Coturnix japonica: one gene and its partner. The main gene of each other region encodes a partner of the protein of the gene in region 2 in a complex. Links are inferred from orthologs where the notes say so. Each region holds a gene or a part of one and is shown on either strand. Other genes may lie near its edges. The genes, in order: LY96 and TLR4.

The links.
Region 1: the proteins of TLR4 (region 2) and LY96 are in contact, whole or in part, in a crystal structure (PDB 4G8A), measured with the Homo sapiens proteins. The link is inferred for Coturnix japonica from reciprocal best matches to the Homo sapiens genes TLR4 and LY96. Residues at the interface, in NP_612564.1 of Homo sapiens: Gln39, Met41, Glu42, Asp60, Ser62, Phe63, Asp84, Ser86, Arg87, Thr110, Gly111, Val132, Val134, Glu135, Asn156, His159, Ser183, Ser184, Asp209, Leu212, Arg234, Val259, Glu262, Phe263, Arg264, Asn265, Glu266, Arg289, Ala291, Tyr292; in NP_056179.4 of Homo sapiens: Met40, Tyr42, Ile66, Pro67, Arg68, Arg96, Ser98, Asp99, Asp100, Asp101, Tyr102, Ser103, Phe104, Arg106, Leu108, Lys109, Gly110, Glu111, Thr112, Thr115, Thr116, Ile117.

The regions. Positions count from the first base shown.
Region 1 is NC_029517.1:106,980,093-106,984,373, reverse strand, and holds the start of LY96 (lymphocyte antigen 96), read right to left. Parts: upstream 2,986-4,281; 5' UTR 2,713-2,985; coding exon 2,619-2,712; intron 1,232-2,618; coding exon 1,142-1,231; intron 82-1,141; coding exon 1-81. UniProt on the Homo sapiens protein: Binds bacterial lipopolysaccharide (LPS). Cooperates with TLR4 in the innate immune response to bacterial lipopolysaccharide (LPS), and with TLR2 in the response to cell wall components from Gram-positive and Gram-negative bacteria.
Region 2 is NC_029532.1:2,459,274-2,462,772, reverse strand, and holds the end of TLR4 (toll-like receptor 4), read right to left. Parts: coding exon 1,525-3,499; 3' UTR 519-1,524; downstream 1-518.

The DNA of each region.
Region 1 (4,281 bases), on a different chromosome or scaffold from region 2:
ACATAACTTGTCTCCAGCGCAATGCTCTGGCACCTTCATACCAGACTGTGAAGACTATCTTCAAATAGGCGACATCGCTTTCTAGTTAAGATATTGCAAGTAAGAAAAGAAGTAACTGGTAAGGAGGAAAAAATACATGTGCAGACATACTATTTCGACTAAAAACTATTTTTTTTCTGATATTTCATTTTTTTAAAGTCCCTAAAAACAAATATACATTTCTTGAAAACCATTCTTTCCAGGAAAAAAAAAAAAGAAAGTTGGTTTCTTTTACCAAAAGGAATCAGTCTCAAGAAATATTAGTGACAAATTTCAAAATCTCTTTCAATTTCTTCAGCAAAGACAACAGTGTTCACTTAGCTCCATAGCTTGTCCCTAAGAGATTCCACACATATAATTTTAAGCACGTATTTTAAACAAATAGTCCAGATTGCTGGTAGCCATCATAAAGTTACTTTACCAGGGAAGTAATCTTACCCCAGCTTCAGAATTTTCACGGAGCAGGTGAAGTTTGAGATATAGCTCACAGGCTAATAGAATCACAGAATATCCCGAGTTGGAAGGGATAAGGATCATCAAGTCCAACTCCAGGCTTCAAACAGCACCGCTCAAAAATCAAACTATATGTTTGAAAGTGCTGCCCATACATGTTTCATTACACAATTTGCCAGCTTAAAACTGGTTTTAAAGATTAGTTTAAAGCTAGGTTTACACACACACTCTATTACCATATTTCCAGTTTCTGGAGTGTGCATATTCTTAGTCCCGATGTGCTTGGATATTTTCTCCCCTTAAAATAGCATGGGTCTTTTTCAGACCAGAAAAGGATGTGTGCACCAAAAGTTTATTTGCTTTTTCTAGAAGTACCTGAGCTGACTCACAATGGTACGTGCAATGCCAGTCAGTGCTCTGAGCTATGGAACCTGCACAAACAAGTCAAATTCAAACACTCTTATTTTCACAAACAGTTTAGAAATCATCATTTCTGTCCATCGCTGTAGTTTATTCGTTCCATTGTTAATCACAGAAAAGTATCTCTTAAATAAACTGACATTTAGGATGAAGTGGCAGTTTTTTGCTTGTGTCACTTATTATTTCTTTGCATTCGGACAATATAATTCTCTAGGCAATAGTGACTCACTTGGAATCCAGGTAATAGCAGCATGCCAGACGGATCTGTTCAGCATGCTGCAGGGTGTCACGTTAAACTTGAAATAATGAGCTGAAGAATCTACAGGATAAAATTATTTCATGTTGTTAGTGAATTATTGCACATGGATGTATGTATACACTTACAGTAAACACAAACACTCAATACAAATAGACCTAATATAAAGTATATATTATACAACTGTGTAATCTAATTATTTGTAGTAAACATTAAAGATCTTTTCAAATGATGCTCCTGATTGTTTACATAGTTAGAAGGCAAAAGCAGCATCAGATTACTTTGTGACTGAGAAGTAAGAAAAGTCATTTGTTGGATGAATTACATTTTGCACTCAAACAGGCAAGAAGCATGCTTCTTTCCTTTTCAAAGTCACACACTTTGCATTAGAATTATGCCATCAGGATCCTCTGATAAAAATATTCCTACTTATGCTAGCTGTGTATTATACATACTAGCATGTTGCCCAAGGCTAGCAGGCCAGCTCAGGTTGCAGCAGTGACTTCATCATGATTTATAATGAGCTCTGTCTTCTATTTTGTGGATTCAAGCAAGGGTTGTGCAAAAGGACTGTCTGACTGCTGGTAATTGGCAGTCATGTTCTGATCACAACTGCATACGGGAAATTATGCTAGAAAACGGAGAACAAAACACACCGTAGTCAGTTTGCAAGCTTAGGCCTAACACAGACGTGTTACATTTTTTAAATGAGTGTTAATGGAAAGCAAAATACCCAAGGTAAACATTCCCTCTTGTGCTTTAGTTTGTATAGATATTTTACAGGTGATATGCACTGGTAGTGCGCATAGACGAGCTTCTTTCCTTGAAAAATATCTATCTCCTAGAATTCCTGCCTTCCTGCCATTGAGTATACATGTTCACAAGGAGCCCGCTTGGCCCTCGCAGCCTCCTTGTGCCTCATTGCTGCAGAACTGATGAAAAAAGTCAGTGAACTACATGGATCCCGTCACCTACTGCTCAGAGACAGCTAGCAACCAGCAGAGAAGTTGTCTTGCTGCCCCAGAGCTGCACTGCCCCCCAGCCTGGCACAGAGTCACACAGGCTGTTTTATTTTTCAATATTTTAAGTGTAAAATATTAATTAAATCAGTATGGGTAATTTGGACAATACAGAACTTCCAAACCAAATTCAAAACTCCTATCTTCCAGCTTTTCCTGAATCAAAATATGCCTCATGCTTTCTCTACTGAGTAGTAAACACCTTCCCTCTTAGATACTGCAAGCCGCCATCGAGGTAATACTTAACATTTATGCAGCATGATTCTTATAACAGGGTGATTAAGACCAGAAATATACACCAGCTGAAACTCTTGTTTATATTTGCCTGATTCATCCAAGAAACATACAGAAGAGAAGGTTCAGTTTGCCTTAGATTAGTGTAATTATTGCACACAGGACAGAAAGAAAAGAATAAGCTAGTTTCTACTTACCACAAAAAGCGTACGATAGTTCTAGATCTGATGATGTACAGAGAAATTCACTGGCTCCAGGAGTGAACAAAATGAAAAAGATAAACTCCAACATATTTACTTATTTTGATCGGTATTGGGCGGAATGCTTCATTTTGGGGAAAGAGGAACAAAAATGCAGCATGGCCATCCTCAGCTTCACGTCTCCAGGGAATATTTGTTTTGTTCTGTCAAATTCTAATTTCCTTAATTAATCCTATTCCAGTGCTATCAGTTATCTTCATCACGAATTTCATGAAGAAAAAGTATTTCTGCCTTTGTTGTTACATCTTCTCCAGACAGAACAGCTCATGTCACGAGTGAAAAAATGAAAGAGAAAACTGTGTGAAATGAGGAAGTGAGAGAAACTAAAAATACAATTACCAGAAGAATGTAAAAGGCAAATGGGGCTGACTCAACAGGAGCAATTGTTGGTAAGGCTTGATTTCACATGCTCACAAGGTTTCCTGTACATAATAAAGAAAACTTACACTCAAACGATGAAAGCCTAGTCCACTCTTACTGGTGTTGTAGTCAATAGTTCTCATGTTTTCACACTGAATTTCTTACAAAGCTCATCATACCATAAGAGAACTCAGACATTATGGATATAATGCAACCAGTTAACTTGTAGAACCACTGAAGTTCTCCTCTATGTCAGCTACTACCTTCAAAGCTTTATCAAGGTCATACTTCTTAGTGACAACAACCTTAAAAACCCATAAAATTTCTACTAATGGGCTCTACGTCCCTCCCCCTAACTCTGTGACCTCTTCTCATGCTCTTCACTGCAGTCTCTAGCAGAAAAGCTGGGTCATGCAATTCATGCTGGAGCATCGAGTCCAAACCCTGAACATTTTGTCAGTACAGTGCATGTTAGGGGGGTTGGAACAGGATGAACAGTAAGGTCCCTTCCAACCCAATCCATTCTGTGATTCTGTGACTTCAGCTTTATACAATTTCCCTGACAGAGTACATACACCCCACACAGACTTCAGCTGTTGTTTAACAGGACACTATAAAACATGCAAAACATTTGTAACCATGGTAACATTAGTTATATTTACAAATGGTCTTTTTTTTTCCTTAAAAGTATCAGAGTGAGTAATAAAATAAACATAAATCAGGATGCCACAGTAGCTGGAAAAAGAAATGCAATAGTGAATCAGACACTGAAGAGTAGCTACCTCATACCTGTGGCAAAAGAAAAGATTTGTTTTACATCAAAAAGCTCCAGCCATTGATCTCGAGTGAGCCTAATCAGTCACAGAACAAGCTAAGACTGACAGTAGAATCAACAGATCCAACAAAAGTCACAGGCCTGTTTGAAGTAGGTGGGAGACTGCACTGACTGTAGGGCATTGACATGAGGTGACCCCGCTGAATGTGTGCCCCTCTGCTGCCACACTGGGTCTTGCTTCACTGCACAGCACATTGGGTAACTGATGGACTCATCAGAAAGAAATCCGTAGATTTACAAGGTCATACATAAAAGCTCTCATAACTAAAATGAAGACAAACACTCTGTTGAATCCTGTGACTTTCCAGACAGCGTTCAGTGCTATGATGTGTTTTCTCTCACCTTGTTCAGTGCTATGATGTGTTTTCTCTCAGCTACTGCCATAAATGAAATAGATGAGGAAGG
Region 2 (3,499 bases):
AGAGCCTGTGGTGCATGGGTGGACACCTACAGCACACAGCAGCTTGGCACTGCACCCCAGTATAGGGTGTTCTTCTGCACCACCCCTGCTGTCCTCCTACAGTTGCTTTGATATGCAACAAACTGTTCCTTTTTAAGCAATACTGGCCTAAACCCTTATTGTGATACTCAGAACCACTTGCAGGCTTTCTGAAGCCCATTATTACAATTACAATCAAGAATCATAGGATGCCAGAAATGCGTATGCACCGAACTGTTTGCAGAAGAGACGCGAAGAGGGATGGAGAAATGATGCTTCTGTACTGCTCAACTCAGCAGCAGTGAGTCTCACCCCATTTCATTTTCCCTCATTCTCTTTCCTGACGTAACTGATGATATCCGGGGCTAATATTTGCTTTTCCTCCATGTTCTCCTGTAGCCTTGAGGCACGGAAACTAGAGCTGGGCCTGTGTCCCAGCACTGCCTCCCATAGCCAATCCCCATCCCCTGCCCTAGTCAACAGGTGCAAAACAAACTGTCTAGGCAAGCAAACACAGCATCCAGCTTGGTTTTATTAAAGCTTTGTTTCATGGGTCACAGAAGACACTAGAGAGGTTTTTGTTAGTGTTATCCCAATACACTACTGATAGAACACACAGAGAAGGGACTGTGGGGCATCTTTTTCCAGCACAAGCCCTGAAATTAGCTTTCCCTCTTTTGGAAGTAATGTCTGAAGTCAGTCTCACCTATAGCTGGCTTCCACGGAGATGCTGCTATCTGGTGCTGAGAAAAGTGAGATGGATCAGGCCTTTTCTTCTGAGAAAATATCAGGTCTGATTCACCACTCAATTGCTTCTGTTTTACCTCTGTAGAATGGCATTGATTATAGAGGGATTTGCAAGTTTAAGACTAGACTAACTCAGTGATTAATCCCAACCAAAGCCTTCCGTAAATAGAGAGCAATACTCCAGCAGTATTCAATATCCAACGCATCAATAGATTGCTCTGTACTGTGATTCAATGGCATTAAACTTTCCCTCCTTTTAGTCACAGTTAGTGATGGGATACTTTTAGTTTAGCTAACCCAGACCTAAATCTTATTTCTTTTCCTACCATGTCTAGAGTTTGGAGCTGTTCTGTACCTTTACCCTCACCCAGAAACCCTGGGGTCCACTCAAAGTGTCAGACTGAAATTCTGCTGAGCAAACAGCCCAAACTGAGTGTCAGAGGTAAGAACAGCCCATCCATTCTCATATCTATTCACTGACCCACCAGATCTGCATGGATTTCTGGACCGGCTTCAGCTGACTCCTACAGACAACAACAGAGCTCAGGCATCTGCAGTTTTTCAAGCTGTTGCCACTCCTTATCTTGATAGCTGCCTGGAGGAAGGGCAGTCATCAAAGTAGGTGTTTCTGTAGTGCTTTCACATTGTCTCTTTTCACTTTGTCCAACCCTGAACAGTCACAGAAGGACGGGCTTCTGAGCACCAAGCATCAGCCAAGGCCAGGGTGGGAGACAGGACAGAAGTGATGTTTCTTTCTCTTTACATGAGTTTTATCTCCTCCTGATTCCATCTTTTGCCTTCTAGCAGGACTGATGTCAGCTGCCTCCAGAAGATATGCTTGCTTATTTCTTTGTCTTTCCACTCCAGATACGTGTTTCTCCTCAGATATCGGGACAGTCCCAGCCTCTGCCTCAACAAGGCCTTATCCACTTCCCCTAATATGATCATGATGATTCCAGCCTTCCCTTCAACAAGCTGCCAGGACTGAGCAATGTCGAACTCAAAGCTACACCACTTGCTTTCCAGAAAGTCAGCTGAGATGACTGCAATGACATTTCTGCTACTCAGAAAACCTTCTTGGATTATATTAGTGACAATGGGTACCCCCGGTAAAAAATCCCTGTAGTAAAGACAAAGCTGGAAGGGAGGTTTTCCTTCTTCTAAGGGTTCCACAAGCTCTTTCATCACCCATTCTTGGTCTTTGCTGGAATGGATAACAAAGGCATCGTAGGTATCTCCCCTTTCTGCAGAGTGTTTGCACCCACTGAGCAGCACCAACGAGTAGTATAGCTGGAAGAAGTACTTATAAATGAGGAATAGAAACACTCCTGCGGCAACCAACACAATCACTGAGCATGCTACTGTGGTTGGGTTGGGATGGCAAGAGGACATATCAAAGCTTGACAGGCTCACGTTCTCCATGTAGGCAGGTGTGTGGCATATCATTGAATGCTTGTTCTGCAGTAGATCCTGCTTTCCCTTGACCCATTTCAAGAAGTTCAAGTGTATGCAGGAGCATTCAAACAAGTTGTGAGAAATGTCTAGTGAGACCAGACCATCAGGCAGGATTTTCAGGGCTGAGTCTGACAGGAAACTCAGCTGGTTGTTGCTGAAATCCAGGGCTGTGAGGGCTTGGAGTGGCTTGTAGGTTACAGGATCAAAAGTCAATAGCTTGTTGTTGCTGATTATTAGCTCTTTTAGTTCAGAGAGAGCATTAAATGTACTTTGGTCCACCCATACCAATTTGCAATTTGAAATATCCAAGATGCGGAGGCGTCTTACATTCTCAAAGTAGTTGGTCAGTGTGTTGTTCTCAAAGGAATTGCCTGCCATCTTTAGCACTTGCAAAGAGTCCAAGCCATGAAAGATGTGATGGGACATAACATGAGTTTTGGTGTAGGAGATATCAAGGTAAATGAGTTTCTGAAGGAGTAGAAAGACAGGGTAGGTGCCATGATGAATTATTGTGGTGTGTTGAAGGTCCAAGTAGAGCAGATTTCTCAGATTAGCAAAATCTCCAGTCAAACTGATGTCAGAATTGAAGCTTAAGTTCAAGTGTTTCAAATTTGGAGACCTGGGAAACTTATGGGAACAGCAGGTAAGGAAGGAGAGACGATTCTCACTCAAATCTACAACCTCCAGGTAAGTCAGACTCCCAAACTTTTGCTCGAAGCTATTTAGGTCTTTGCTCTTGGTAATACGAAGCACTCTCAACTCCTTAAAAAGAGACAGCTTCTCAGCAGGCAACTCCTGAAACTTAGATTTCTTCCATTCCAGGTGTTTCACTTGAGAAAACATAGGAACTTCTGACAACGTTTCAAGACGAAGGTCCACGAACCGAATAGTGGAGACATTGCCTATGCAGTCAAAAAGAGTGTCTGTGTCATTCTCAAAGTCTCTGAAACACATTAAGACAAACTCCTGCATCTGCACCTGACACAGACCGCTCAAGAGTCCGTTCTGAAATGCTGTCAGCTTCAGAATGTTAGTGAATTCTCCAACTATTAGTCTGTTGACCTGTAAACCTGCCAGGCCCTGAAGAGAGGACTGCATCACACTGAGGTTCTCGAAAGAGGATCTCAGAACCAGTTCACCAAGGTGAATCTTTGCAAAGGATCCTGACTGGATGTATTTTATATTGTTCAGAGAAAGTACCAGTGTGAGGTTGAGCCTGTTTGTTTCCCTCAGGGCATCAAGGTCTCCTTTGGAGATGTATGTTATATTATTGGAAGAA